Linked DNA regions of Nothobranchius furzeri. The protein of the gene in region 3 purifies or fractionates together with the protein of the main gene of each other region. This does not show direct contact. Links are inferred from orthologs where the notes say so. Each region holds a gene or a part of one and is shown on either strand. Other genes may lie near its edges.

Evidence for each region.
Region 1: the proteins of kpnb1 (region 3) and nusap1 purify together in Homo sapiens (affinity purification with mass spectrometry; 3 studies listed by BioGRID and IntAct, counting the BioPlex papers as one, with this or other methods). This does not show direct contact. The link is inferred for Nothobranchius furzeri from reciprocal best matches to the Homo sapiens genes KPNB1 and NUSAP1.
Region 2: the proteins of kpnb1 (region 3) and nup214 purify together in Homo sapiens (affinity purification with mass spectrometry; 3 studies listed by BioGRID and IntAct, with this or other methods). This does not show direct contact. The link is inferred for Nothobranchius furzeri from reciprocal best matches to the Homo sapiens genes KPNB1 and NUP214.

Annotation. Positions count from the first base shown.
Region 1 is NC_091758.1:19,032,655-19,037,902, reverse strand, and holds nusap1 (nucleolar and spindle-associated protein 1), read left to right. Parts: upstream 1-2,039; 5' UTR 2,040-2,152; coding exon 2,153-2,227; intron 2,228-2,322; coding exon 2,323-2,385; intron 2,386-2,471; coding exon 2,472-2,630; intron 2,631-2,720; coding exon 2,721-2,865; intron 2,866-2,947; coding exon 2,948-3,040; intron 3,041-3,142; coding exon 3,143-3,255; intron 3,256-3,378; coding exon 3,379-3,551; intron 3,552-3,639; coding exon 3,640-3,803; intron 3,804-4,293; coding exon 4,294-4,404; intron 4,405-4,475; coding exon 4,476-4,581; intron 4,582-4,659; coding exon 4,660-4,747; 3' UTR 4,748-4,969; downstream 4,970-5,248. Other genes in the region: oip5 (protein Mis18-beta), read right to left, coding at 1,305-1,371, 1,540-1,795. UniProt on the Homo sapiens protein: Microtubule-associated protein with the capacity to bundle and stabilize microtubules. May associate with chromosomes and promote the organization of mitotic spindle microtubules around them.
Region 2 is NC_091746.1:57,168,029-57,173,362, reverse strand, and holds the start of nup214 (nuclear pore complex protein Nup214), read right to left. Parts: upstream 3,210-5,334; 5' UTR 3,068-3,209; coding exon 3,026-3,067; intron 1-3,025. UniProt on the Homo sapiens protein: Part of the nuclear pore complex. Has a critical role in nucleocytoplasmic transport.
Region 3 is NC_091745.1:29,728,320-29,732,982, reverse strand, and holds part of kpnb1 (importin subunit beta-1), read left to right. Parts: intron 1-1,986; coding exon 1,987-2,139; intron 2,140-2,230; coding exon 2,231-2,290; intron 2,291-2,382; coding exon 2,383-2,472; intron 2,473-2,856; coding exon 2,857-2,967; intron 2,968-3,047; coding exon 3,048-3,149; intron 3,150-3,238; coding exon 3,239-3,463; intron 3,464-4,663.

The sequences.
Region 1 (5,248 bases), on a different chromosome or scaffold from region 3:
AACCTGGTTTTGCTTTTATCTGCTTGTTGTAAATTATCAGATAAAAATGAAAAACTAACTTTAAACATTTTTCATACAGTAGTCATTATAATTCTTTTAAAGGTATGCATCCCAAACCGCTTTGGAAAACAGATCCTGCATAGATTTCATATGGTGTTCCACCTGGGAATGTTCGGGGTGTGAAACTCTGATTTGAGACCAACTTCTGGTAAATATTACCTGTTGGTGTGGAACAGAAAACATAAATTAACAATAAACTCTACATCAGCAGGGCCCAAAACATCATCAAAGGCCCCTCCCACCCCAGTCACTACAGCTTTTTAATTCAGCAGGTGCTACAAAGCCACAAGAGCGAAAACCAGCTGACTGAGGGTCAGCTTCTTCCCCACAGCTGTCGGGACAATAAATAGAAGAAACAAACTCTTGAACTGGTGCGATAAATCCAATGTAACTTGAAAAACATTACTACTGTTGTTTGTAGGTCACTGCATTCAGTAAGGATTTATTTGTGTATATATTTCATATCTATCTTTCTTTTTTTTTCTTAAAACTTGTTTGTTTTATCTGGGAGTTGATTTTTCCAAGTCATATTTTCCACCATGTCATTCATACATTTCATAAATGTCCCATTTCTCAACTAAATATGTAGTTAAAAAGCTAACTGTTTTAAATTATTTTAAAAACTAAATATTTAGTAGGATAAACATTTTGTTTATTTTTCATTCATCATTCATTCGTTTTCTTTATTCTCATAATTCTGACTTTTTAACTTCTGAAAAAAAAAGTGAAATTCACTTTCACCTTCTTTTTTCTTTAACTTTTCAGGGGCGCCAATCCTTTTTTGTATATGTCTGACCTAAATATCTATTTTTTAGCTTAATATTTAGTTAGTAAATTAAATATTTAGTTTGGAGCTAAATATTTAGTTAGTAAATTATTTAAAATACCTGACCTAAATATTTATTTTGAGAAATACATATTTAAGTATGACCTAAATACTTAGCTTGGTGCTAAATATAATTTTAGTAAATTAAACATTTACTTAGAAAATAAATACTTATGTCTGATCTAAATATTTAGTTTCCAAATGAAAAATTTGTAAAATAAATGTTTACCTCATTTTAAATATTTAGCTTGTTAGCTGAAAACTAAGCCTTTTAAAAATGTATGAATGACATGACTTTTTAAAATTAACTCTCAGTTGCTCCCTTTTATGACAGTCGACATAATCCAAGTACTGCTGTTACATTGCGACAGTTTGGCACCCCATAGAACATTAATCTGTACACCTAAAGCTAACTCACCTGTTATCCAGCTCTCCTTTATGCCCGGGCTCTTCTGCATCACCAACAATCACATCACTGGTTACTTCTGAAGGGACCAAAAATACTGATTATTATGGGATGTAACAGTAGTGAAGCCTATTATAAAAGAACAAACCAGAAACTATTTCAACAAGTAAAACAAAAACATTTTAAGAGGAAATTTAAGGTACATATAATATGTTTACCACAATAACATCAATGAGGTAACCCTTACTTAGACACATGATGGAGTCCAGACGTTCTACTTCTCCACAGACGCTAAAGGAGTCTCCCAGGACAGTGTTGCACTGCTGACAGTGAAAAGTCAGCGCTTGTCTGTCATCTGCATCCGTGGTAATGACCATATTGTTGAGTCGTTTATTTAAGACGCTGTCGTCAAATTCCATGTCACCCAGAGAACCAGAACCACCAACGGACGATTTTAAGTTTTGTTCTTCTAATTTCCGCGCGCTGAAGTTAGCTTGGCACATTACTGCCACCGCGGTGTGGGTTTAGACACAACACCAAGACACATATACGCAAGAAAATGAGAAACATTAACACAACAAAGCTGTAATTTTAAACTTTTAACAATATGCTAAAATAATAACTATTAATCACCAGTTTAACAAAAAAAAAGGATAGATTTAAGTAGAGGCGTTTGACCATCTTGGTTTTGATTGGCTATGGGGCACATCTGGTTAAAAATAAGAGCCAATCAAATCGCTCTCACGGTCTTGTTTTGAATAGGAAGGAGTTTTAACCGTCGGGGCGCGAATGAGAAGCAGAAGAAGAAAGAAAACGGAGACATCGTGATTTTATAAAGCATAGTAAACCACCGTAGTAACATGGATTTGGACTCCATGAAATATGCGGATTTGCGAAGTCTTGCGAAGGAGCTTGGGCTGAAAGCAAACGGGAAGGTAAGGAAGTTACTTTTACGTGTCTTTAGCGTAACGGTAGAGGACTGTTAGCTAACATCGGCTAAATCAATCACGTTTTATTTACTCATACGCAGGCTGATAAACTCCTGAAAGCTATAAAAGAGCATTACCACGAAGAGAAGAACGCAGACGTGCAGGTAGGTAACTGCTGCTGCAGTATTATTTTAAAAGTATTGTTTTAATGTAAATTGAATGTCTGCGTATCGTTGTGTTTCTGCCCCAGGGTCGATGCAGTGTTGGTGTCCCTGAACACAAAAGTGTAGCAGAAGACAGCGCTGTCCCTGTCTTTGTAAACACACGTCGGGGTAAAGGAAACCGCTCCAAGAGAAGGCTTTCTGACACTTCCAGTGTGTGTGGTGCTAAGACTCCCAGTGCTGCAGAGGTCTGACGTCATTAAAAAGGCCACTGGTTGTGTTTAACAGCACGTAACCGTCTGTAACCCTACCAGGTGTAAGACTGTTTGTCTTTTCAGGGTGGTGACAAGCCAAGTGTCTGCAGCACCCCCACTTCACAGGGTAGCAAGAAAAGAAAGCTGTCCTGTCATGGAGAACCTCAAACTACTGAGACTGACCAGCAGCACCCTGATACTAAAGAGGAGAAAACGGCTCAATCAACAGGTTTGAGAGCTTCTTCAAACCTGCGACTAGATTTATTTTTGCTTTGAGAAGCAGTTTGACTCATAAAATCATATTTGTTCAGGAAAAGTACCAAAAGTGGTGAAACCTGGCAAAATTCCCCGCTACAGAGGCTCCCAGCAGATGAACAAGACTCTGTTGAAGCCCACCACACCTAGTGAGTTTGCTTTATTTCCTTTCTCCAGACTTGCGTAAACACGGTCAGCATATTTAATCCTTGAATTTGTTTTACTGTTTGTCAATTTTATCTCTAAATTAGATTTTAAGAAAATCCATGAGGCGCAGTTCAACAAAATGGAGTCCATTGACACCTATGTTCAGCGCAAAACAAAGCAGATGGAGACCACCAGATCTTCAGCCAAAGATCTGAAGGTATTAAGTCTTCCTAACATCAGAACAAATGTTTAAGTTGGTCTTTCTACATTGTTTTCCATCCTAATCTGAAGTCAAAGCTGGACACGTTTCAGAGCTTATGTGTGGGTTTGTGTTTGACAGAACACGACTCGTGCCTCCATGTTCAGCCCAGCCCAGCTCAATAAGAGACCAGCTGCAGAAAAGCCCAGACACACTTTGCTGCCAGTCAGTAAAGCTCTTCAAAACAAACGTGCTGGGAAAGACGACCTTCCATTCAGACCGTCTGTTATTTCTACGCGTAGGATCAATGTTCGGTGCGTCTTCTGTCGATCATTGCTACAGTCATTGTTATAGCAAACACAGATAAGTGTGTTTCATGTGACGCTCTACCAACTTGTTCAGATTCTCAGAAGCTACATGTGACAACGAGTTTAAGAGGTCTTTGGTGAAGACCCCGGCACGCATGTCGCTCCAGAGACCTTCCAGCACCCCTCAAAGCCAGACCACCAAAGCAAAGAAGCCACATGTTGTCATTACGTCTACTTTGTCTCCCCAAAAAACTTCAGGTACTCATCGCCACCATTTGGGATAATTTAAATTTGATGTGTTAACTAGAGGCCTTACCGACATGTTTTTTTTTTTAGGCCGATAGATTTACAAAGAATTTTGATGCCGATGGCTGATATCTAAAACCGATTATTAAGGTTTATATATGTGATTTGGCAGCATATTGCTTGTGAAAGACAACCTAACGCTCACTGTGTGCAATATAAATTAAATAAGTCAATAAATCTCTTAATATTTATTGAACTTCAAATATTAAACAAACTCAAAACATTTTTATTTTTTTTAAAGCAGTGTGTTGGGGGTCGTTCGGGTTCTCTCTTCAGTCTAGTAGTAGCGGCGGTAGGCCACACAGGTGCCTGATTTTAAAAAATGTTTTTATTGGCTTTTAAAAATAATTTCGGCCGATATAGAAAAAATTTTATATATCTGTCAGCCTCTAGTGCGAACATGCAAAATAAATCTAACCAATCTGGTTTGTCTCCATTAAAGAACTGTTTGTTTTTACTGGTGACGTCTCAACCACACCCGGAACACAAAAGAAGCCGACCTTTGATCTGAAGGCCAGTCTGTCGCGTCCGCTCAACTACAAACCCCACAAAGGTGCGGAACTGTCCTCAAAGACCGTAAGTTGTGTTGTTCTGAGACACTGATGCTTCCTTCCTTTTTTGCAGGCAAACTGAAGCCATTTGGAGATGCTAAAGAAAATGCATCTGCAAACAAATCTCTGATCTCCAATTCGCGTCAGGAAAGTTACAAACAACACAAGGTGCAGTCCAGGTGAGCCTGAGAGAAATTCTCATCACAACAATCTGCCTGTAAAGCGCCTCCTGAGGCTGATCCGTGTCGTGTTTACAGGGACGACCGGAGGGCAATACTAGCAGAGGACCGGAAGCAGAAGAAAACAAAACTGCTCGGAGCGAGGAGAGGCCTGGTCATGGAATAGAAACGCTTTTGCATTTTTCTCAAGCTTCCTGTTCTCATGTAAATAATTTAGACATCCGTGCTCTCCTGAGCCAGTTGTAAGAACATGGATTCAGTCTGCTTTACTCAGCTTGTAGATTTGTTTGTTTATAATAATCATTTTTATCCTTTTGTAGTAAAAACTTTTACTTATTGTTTTCCATTTTGAGATGAATATTTGGATTAAAATGGTGACCTAAAAGATTTGTTGTGCTTTAATAAAATGTCTCTTGAATGCTTTTATTATTGCTTTTACAATAAAACAACAAAAAACTCTCACATGGAAATCACTTTGCTGTTTTACTGAGAGAAGTCATTTAAACTAAACGGGAAAATTAAGAAGCAGCAAGAGTGTCTGTTTAACTTGTAAAAGATCAACAGCAACAACCGTTTGATCCCCTTAACCGATTTGTGTTTTAAAATTGACCAGAAATGCAAAAAAAAAAAAAAGTGAAGACGAGGAATTTCCACACATCTGTATTTA
Region 2 (5,334 bases), on a different chromosome or scaffold from region 3:
TACTGGTGTATTCACCTTTAATACTAGTTATTACAATGTAGCAGTTGCTGGATTGGTGCAGTTCAAAGTGGAGTGCATCAAATAAAACAATATTAACATAAAGGTGAGACGTGTCATAACCCCCCACCCCCACCCCCCACCCCCGCCAACACCACCACAGCTGGAAAAATTCCTAGGGGAAACACTGCTACCACTGACTCAAGTTTGCTCTGCAGCATTGATATTTATTCCCAACAATTAACTCAAGCCTGAAGGAGTTCTGCTTTGTTGTGGAGTTGCTAATGCTAACACTTAGCTTCTACTAGTTGAGATGTTCTCTGCTGTTTCCTGGACACTAAATCAACAACAGCCTTCCCCATTGCAAGTCAAGATGGGTGAATCCATGAATGGTAAGCGACAGTGTGACGTAGAGCTGTCAGGCTTTTCAAATCCTAGAGCAGGGGTATTCAATTCCGGGCCTGGAGGGCCGATATCCGGCAGGTTTAACCCCGTTCCAACACACCCGATTTCAATCAGCATATAATTAACAGGTATTTGCAGAGCCTGATGAGCTTCAGCACATGTGATTCAACCATTGAATTAAGTATATTGGAGCAGTGAAACAACTAAAACGTGTTAGATGCCAGCCCCCCAGGCCCGGAATTGAATACCCCTGTCCTAGACTTTCACTATTTTCTAGACTTTCACTATTTCTATCAGAAGCTAATGAAGGAGATATATAAAAAATAGGACACTATTTTCACGTTCAGTCTGCATGTTAAACTCTGAGTGACTGATTTAAAAAAATAAGTAAAAATTGTTTCTTAGTGAAGGACCTCTTTAAGTTTACAGTTTGGTTGTGCAACGTGGGGTCAGTGTTGAAGTTCTAATTCTACCAAAGGAGAAATAATTCAAACATCATCTCTGAGATGCTATCTAACTTGTCTTAAGTGCTTGAAAGCTGATTTTCTCAAACTTCTTAAACTATGTAGAGTATAGGGCTGTCGCGGTTGAGGAATTCCCCCTGCGGTGATTCAGGGTGGCTTAATATTGCGGTGTGCGATATTATTGCAGCCCTTTTTTTATTGCAGTACTATCTAAACATAATGTTTACACATTTAAAAAAGGTTAAAAATTGCCGTGCCTTCTTCAATAACGCTTTACTGAATGCAGATCAAAGGGCAGTAACAACACAGATCGCAGTAACGTTTGTTTCTCCGACAGTCGGAGTCCAACTGAACTTAAAAACAACAAAATTCAGGAGGTTAAACTTTTAAATGCAAATTTGGCTGCAGCATCTAACAAATAAGAAACAAGTCCCCATTTTGTTTAGTTGTTTAAAATCAAGCATAAAAAATTACATGTACCGGGCGCGCGCGCGCCGGGGGGCGGGCGCACTATCATTTCACTTTCACACACACGAATGACGGTGATTTATAGCTCGGTCACGTCCTTGTTACCTACAAGGAAAACCAAGCATGTTAACCATATACGGTTTGAGAGAGGATCTGAGAGGGGTGGCAACATTTCCAGCAACACTGAAAACCCTCTCGGATGGTGCGTTCGTTGCACTAACGCACACGTACTTGCGTGCGACTCTGCCGAGCAAAGGGAATGTCTCCCGGTTGTTGCTCCACCATGTCAGGGGGGTTTCTTTAGGGTGGATGCATTCCTCCTGCAGGTAGCGAGTGAGCTCCAGCTCGGCTCAAACTCTCTTCAGGACGGTTGCAGAAGCAGTGCTTGTCCGGGACTTCAGCAGGTCTCCGAGCGTTTATTATTATTTTTTTGCCGCTGGTGGCAGCTCTGTCTCGGCCAAGGACTCTGGCTGTGCAGCAGCTGACGTACTGAAAACCAAAGTGCTCCCAAAGGAGCGAAGTAACGTTTCGTTTTGATACCAGTGCAGCCATCCTTCTCAACATGCATCATTGAGTTGAACCAAGTTCAGTAATCGCGGTGGTCCATGATGCAGCGCGGTGGGCTTCTTCATATTGCGATATTTCATTTTTGCGGTTACCGCGACAGCCCTAGTAGAGTATAAAAACAGTCCGCTTGAAATTTGAAAATGTTTAGATATCTTCAAATGACTAGCAGTGAAAAAGCTGTAAAAATGCTGACGTGTCACATTACAATTAAGTAGATATTGCACACAAAATTACACACATTATCAAATCTTTTAGCAATGTTATGACTGCCATAACAATGGCGATTAGGTGCAATTTCCTACATTTTAATAAAAAAATGTAAAATTGCATTAAGTACATTTGGGTACTTTACATTTGATCTATGTTCTTAGTTGTATATCAGTGCTAATATATTGGCAATGAGGTTTGTTACTGCATTAAATTTGCTAAAGTGGCTTTTTAGAGTATTTTGTACTTCTGTCCATTTGTATAAAATCTAAAGTTGAATGAAAATGGAGTTAACAAAAAATAATAATCTTGGGTGTCATTCATAGTGCACCTAAAATACATTCAAGTACAGTTTACATGTTTGCTCCTACCTGTGAGATTCACTAAAGAGTATAAATCTCTAAAAACAAACCTTAAACTGTTTCAATATTATATGATATAAGGTGCTCCCTATGCTTTTGGAAGCACTGATTAAAGTATTTGCATACAAATAGACAACAACAAGCGTTTAAAGCAACTTATATACTATTTCTTTAATGTATTTATTCTTAATTATAAAATAGCCTAAAATAAATTGTAATAGTCGTGCAACGTAACCGTAATATCAAACGATGTCATTTGTTGTCATAAAAGACCTGAATGACATCTCTGTTACCGTTAGCATAACATTGCGGTGCTAACATACGTAGACTGAAACGAATATAAAATAATTTCTTTTGACGGACTTGAGAGAAAATTGTAATCAGTTCTCCGTTTTCATCACTCGGCATTTTATCAATGTGCATGGTCTAAGTCAGTAAAAAACAAGGGGTTATAGTAATCTAAACCAAAATAACTTTACAATCAGTTAGCTAGCTGCTTATAAGCTACTAAGCTAACCAACGCCGTAGCTTTCCACATGCTAGCCGCGTAAATACCTTCATCTCCCTCTCAGGAGGGGAGTCTGTATCGTCACTCATTTCGAACAGAAACTTCTGATTCTCCGGATGAGGTTTTGCTTTAATTTATTCCTTCAAAGCGTAGATGTAAGTCAAAGTTCGAGCGAGCTACATCAACTGAACTCGCCGCGCCGTTTTGTGTGTGAAAATAAAATAGGATGACTAGTGGATGCTAGAGTGTCCTTTTGCAGTTAATAAATAAATAAGGATGACGAGTAGATGCCAGAGCTAACTGAGATGGCCCACCAGTCTCTTGGATCCGAATAAAAACAAAACGTGTTTAGAGCTGATTTTTGCATCTTGTTTCTGATCATATTTGCCGGGAAAATGTCTTGTCTGTTTACAAATAGTATGTCAGGATGTTAATATATATTGTTTTCATATCATAAATGTACAAATTAGCATAGTTTCTTATTCATAAATCCAAGTTCTATAATCATAATTTATTCCTGTTTATTTCCCATAGAAGAGTACAAGTGTCATAAAAACCTTAAAAATGTGATATATGAATTTAAACGTTTACATTTTTTGTGCTGGCATTGCTCTAAGCCCCTTTGATTGTTGCATTTATGGTACTGACTCAAGAAGCATTTAGCTTTTTATTTATTTTTCTGCTATTACTCTTTGCCTTAGCCAACCTAATGTATGACGTATGGTTCTTAATGAAGTAAAACGTTTTAAATATTTTAAACATGGATAGTTATGATGCAATAAAAGTGACATACTAAAAAAAATGCTAAACAACATTTAAATCAGACTATTCACATTCTTAAAGTTGTATTTTTATATCCAAGTTTTTATTTTCCAACTGGTCTCCCTGACTTTAATGAAAATAGTTGAGAATACTTAAAAATCTTTTATAACTAACTTTTGACATGAAATCTACTCAGGGGAACAAAAACAATTAGGTAAAAACTTTTTAAATGTCTAATAAAGTTATACTGACTTTTGTTAACATACACTTGCAGGAAAGTTTGTACTTGTGTATAAGCACTTTACAAGTTGCAGAAACTTTTATTTCTCCTATGCATGATTCTTTTTTGAATCAGTACCCCTTTGGGAACCCCAAGAAATGAAGACAAAAGGAATAGCCACCCACTACAGTATAGGTGAAGTAAGGACTTTTATTAGAAAGCTGAATTTTCTGTTTTGCATTTAAACAAATCAGGTACTCCTCTGCGACTACATAACTTAAAACTGATAATGGCAGAGATGATGGTAGGAATGAAAGATAAGATTCTTATGTAACATCAAAAGTGGCATCTTGCATTTCCATTATATAGTATTCATGCTTGAGCCAGAAGGCGCATGAACATTTTAACATTTTATTCTTTTAGAAAGCAGAAACAACATCCAGGATTTCCGGGGCCAGGCCCTGCTGATTGTGAAGAACAATACAGTGATCGGAGTTTACAGTTGCATGATCGGATCCTTTTGTCAGCTTGTGCACTGACGTCCATTATCAAGTTAGGTAGGAGTTCAGACTTCAGGCCAAGACTGGCCCACTCTTGCATGACAGATGTGGCCCGTGTCAACATGGGGTGACTGTTCATGAAGCACCAAGATTTTAGTCCGTTCTTGTTGCAGTAACACACATTCATTATATCCACGTCCTTCTGTTCTGGGGAAAGCAAGCTAGCATAGATCGAAGCAAGCTAGAGAAGGACAAAGCAAAAAAAGCAAGAGCACAGCAAGTCATGTCACAACTCCAATAGTGCACCGCGGGCCTCATCCCTTTTCTGATTGTCAGCGCTCTGAACACATGGCTTTAAAAATTGCATTTACTCCTCTTTTGCCCGTATCCTTGGACACTCTTGACTTATTTTTTACACTTTTCTTTCAATTTCCAAGTAAAGTGCTGGCTTTATGTTCAATTTCACACATACACATATAAACCTTTAGTGCATTTTTTTCTGAGTCTGCAAAATATTTAAACGCACACTCAACTGGGTAGTTAGTCTGTGTGTATTCCACTCCTAATCAGTACTTTGCTGTCAATTATACAAGAGATTACACTTTATGCAAACATTCAATGAAAGGCCGGAGTGTGTGAGAAACACACACACACACACACGCTTGCTGCAAGACTCCCCAGTCGTTGCTAGTTAACAGTGACAACAGTTATTCAGCATAAAATACATGGTGCATAAAGATCAGAGGTTTCTTCGGGTTAGGGTGATCATCTGAATGGCATGCACTTTATGATGCAAGTGTCACTTTGCATATCAATGTATAGTTCTCAGGTGCTCGGAAGAAAAATAAATACAGTGCCCGTTTATTTTTACAGT
Region 3 (4,663 bases):
TCAGTACCGGAGCCGATGAAACAGCGTCAGCAGTACGACAAACTAGTCTTTGGATTGTCTCCAGGTAAAAAGCGACAGTTAGTTAACAGCGTCAGATGGACCCAGAAGGTCAGTGAGTTCAGCATTTATTCTGAAAGGAACCGTTGCAGCAGGTGGAACAGCAACAGGTTTTCCAGCTTGTCGCTTCTTTCAGCTGAAGAGGAAAGTTACGGATTGGCCACTCCGTCTTCAAGTGTTCTCTCGAATGCTTTGAACTGGCGTTAAAGATGACATGGGCATAGTTTTATACTTCGGATGTTTTGGTTTATGGTCGAATGAAAAGATGACAGATTTACCAAGCACCACCAAACCCACGCCTCCGTCAGGTCTGTCAGAATCTGATTGGATCAGTAAAAGCAGTGTTATGTCTTAACGCTACGTGAGATCAGTCCTAGTGGAAACATTTAAAGTCATATTACTTATTATATTCTATAGGATTATAATAAAGTAATTAATATTTTGATTTCACGGATTGGTCACATCTTATTGACGAACACTGATTAGCTTATTAAAAATAGAGTTCTTTGATATATTAAAGAGAGTCCAAGAAGCTCTTGGGCTGGAAAGGAAGCAGTTTATAGCAAATGCATGAGACCTTGAGGCCATATATCATGCAGACTAGTTCTGTGTCAGAGGAGAGGGGGAATGACTTGGTGGAAAACAGTCATTTCATTCCGTTACATCTGTAATTCCTGCTCTATAATTTATCCAAATAATATTCTTACTGATGAAATTTAAAAAGATAATGAAGAGGTACAAATTATGTTTAAGTAATAATTAATATTCATAATAACTGCACTAGTAGGAATTTAGCATCTTAATTCATGATGATGTCCTGACCAGTTGTCAACAGTTAAACCTTTTTGTGTTTTTACAGAAACTCAAAAAAGGCTATTAGGCAAATATTACTAAATGTGTGAAACACTGAAAAAACCTTTTTAATGATTATTTCTGATCATAATCAGTCACTGAGTTTTTCATGCAGGCTGAACATGAAAATAGTCTCCTACACCTATCTTCTGCATTATCTATTGATAGAAAATAGACAGTGAAACTGTTAAAATCAGATCTACATCACACTGTCGCCTAACATTCATGGACTCGCCCATCTTGACTCATGACGTGGAAGGCTGTTTTAGCATCCAGGAAACTGGAGAGAATGTCTCAACTAGTAGAAGCTAACTGTTAGCATTACCAACTCCACTACACAGCAGAACTCCTCCAGGCTTGTGTTATTTGTGGAGATGGAACAACATTGCAAATCAATTGCAGGGTAAACTTTTCTAAACAAAATCTCTGAAAAGGAACAAAATATTTTTCAAGTGTTCAGAACATTTATAGAATGTAATCATGCCTTTATCAATAATGTATAAGATGTGTGTGTGATTTATGTAAATACAGACGTGAAATCAGTTCGTGTAAAATAATCGTGTAATCATGAAACTGATTATTTCTTTGACTACAATCATGCCACCAAAATTTATAATTGTTGACTCCCAAATGCCAATACGGCAACCCGATGACATCCTAATAAGCAAATTGGATGAGTGCATTTGCTCTCTGTACAAACTTTGGGTCCTACTGAAGATTTCTCATTGACAGTTTACCTTTATCTCTTACCATTTTCAAGCTACAACCCCCTGAAAAGGTCCTGTCAAAATTTAATATTTTCTTGAAAAAACTGGCACCCAAAAGGTTATTTTGAATTTTTTGCTTATCATTTGTCTTTTCTTGCACCAAGTACTGCAGCAATTTCCTAATGTTGTGATTCTCGCACAAATGACAATAAAACCCTTCTGGTTCTGATTCTAACCGCTTACAGTCAGACGCACCGGAGCTGTAACATGCAGACTCCAGACCAGATTCCAGTTCTGGTTTGTGACTGTTGCAGCCTATGCCTGACGCTGTTGTCTGTGGAGTACTCCTGACATATTTTGTTCCTTTTAGGACCCTGAGCAGCTGCAGGAAAATGCCAACCAGATCCTGACGGCCATCATCCAGGGCATGAGGAAGGAGGAACCCAGTAACAATGTGAAGCTAGCTGCTACCAATGCCCTGCTCAACTCACTGGAGTTCACCAAAGCCAACTTTGACAAGGAGGTGAGGGTCTGATGTAATAGTTGGAGTTCCCTAGTCAGGGATGTAGTTCTGATCTGCATTTGTGAATAAATGATGATGTTTGTGTTTTCAGACGGAGAGGCACTTCATCATGCAGGTGGTTTGTGAAGCCACCCAGTGTCCTGACACCAGAGTGAGTACCATGAGAACTGAATCTCTTGCTGTGAGCTGGATCGTGTTTATAGGTCTTATCCTGATCCGTCCTGTCGTCTATGATGCATGCAGGTCCGCGTGGCAGCTCTGCAGAACCTGGTGAAGATTATGTCTCTGTATTATCAGTACATGGAGACATACATGGGGCCTGCTCTGTTTGCGGTAATAAACTCACTCAATATTTGGTTCTATAGAACAAAACTTGTGGTTTTGCTTTGATTAGTTGGGACAGAAGAACACTTGAGTGTAGTTTAAGGCAAAAGTTATGAATCTGAGGTCGTTTCTTTGGGCCAAAGAGTTTAAAGTCCTGTCCTGATTTTCATCAGTCTTGGTGAGCAACAGCGTTCCACTTGGGTGATGTTCTGGTTCATCGTTTATTTATTCAGAAGACAATAGGTGTAAACAGGGATAATTCCTCGCCAGGAACAGGGCAGGGTCATAAGCCTGGACATTTCCAGTTTAATGATCTGCTGCTGCACAAAGTTCAGTAGAGCTGAATCTCTAATTTCGGTTGTTTTCCAACATGTTTTTTAAATTTTGTTTCAGATCACTATTGAGGCGATGAAGAGCGACATTGATGAGGTGGCTCTGCAGGGTATTGAGTTCTGGTCCAACGTCTGTGACGAGGAGATGGACCTGGCCATTGAGGCCTCAGAGGTCTGTTTCCAGTTTGAGGACTCGTTTCAGATGTGTAGCGCTGCGTTCACTGACTGCTCGTTTCTCCTCTTGCCCATCAGGCCTCGGAGCAGGGGCGCCCCCCCGAGCACACTAGTAAATTCTATGCTAAAGGGGCACTTCAGTACCTGGTCCCCATCCTGACTCAGACCTTGACCAAGCAGGTGCTGACCTTTCACTTCTCTGTGTGCTCCTGCTAGTTTTGTGACTTCACTGTGGTTTATGAGAAATTAAATTTTTTCAAACTCTGCAGGATGAGAACGATGACGACGATGACTGGAACCCCTGCAAGGCTGCAGGTGTGTGTCTGATGCTGCTGGCCACCTGCTGCGAGGACGACGTGGTTCCTCACGTTCTGCCCTTCATCAAAGAGAACATCAAACACCCCGACTGGCGCTACCGTGACGCCTCCGTCATGGCCTTTGGCTCAATCCTGGAGGGACCCGACCTGAACCAGCTCAAGCCCCTCGTCATTCAGGTGCAGACCTAAAGCTCTAGACCAGGGGTTGGCAACCTGTTCCCATCAAAGAACCATTATTACCCGTTTCCCACAGTAAAGAAAACACTGGGAGCCACAGCAGCCGCGGCGTTGTGGGCGGGGCCTACCCTCAGACAGCAGAGAGCTGCTCACAACAGGTGACGGCAGCCGGTACCGGTCGCTAGTGTACGTCAAAGTTATCTTTCATAAGATAATCAATAAAACAATTTATATAAAGTGGATCCAGAAGTTGTAGCCCGTCTCTGCCTACAATATTTAGATATTTTTCACCCTGTTGGTGGTTTTACTGAGCAGGTGCCACTTTTGTCGTACGTTTCTTTTTAAAACATGTTTAGACTGTTCAGAATACAAATCCAGGCTCTGTCACGTTTGATTGTTGTAATTAAGCTTTGTAGGTGGGGAAGGTCAGAAAAGGATCCGATCATTTTGTTTTTCCCTCATTTACAGTGGCAGAGATAACGGCGCAGTGTGCCTGGTGTTGATCAAGTTTAATTTGTAACAATTTTCACAAGAAAACCGTTAAAATCAGGGCTTGTGTTGGCCAGACAGTTCCCGTATTTGACCGTTTATTTTGACGGAGAAAGAATAGAAAGAATTACCCCGACGCATGCAGACGAACTGACATTTTATTCTACGCACATCGCAGATGTAGCTAAATCACTCAAGAAACGATTCCCATCTGAACATCTGAGCTGGACACCGCTCAGCGCAGCTCACTGTCAGCATGTACTACATAAGGTCCACAGCGAGCTGAAGATGTGGAGAGGGGCTTGGAGCACGTCGCAGAACCAGAGCGCATGCGGGAAGGTTCCTCCCACTGAAGCGAGACTTGTCACTTAGAAAATGTTCCCTGATTATGAAACTTTGGCTGAATAGCGCTTGTTCCTGTGTCCAATGTGGCGACACATCCAGGAGCCGTCTGAGGAGAATCCCAGAATCTCACATCCTCTTCAGCTCAGGAAGCGCCGATATGATTACGCACAAGCATGACGCGTCAACCCGGTCTCACAGTAAGACCGGGTTGGACCTGTTCAGGTTTACGCAGACAATCTTTACATTTAGAATTGGCATACAGATGTAAAATGTATGCAGTAAAATATAAAGCTTTTCATTTAAATATCCATTCATTATTTTACAAGCACAGAGAGCCGCATCAGATGGATGGAGGAGCCGCGGGTT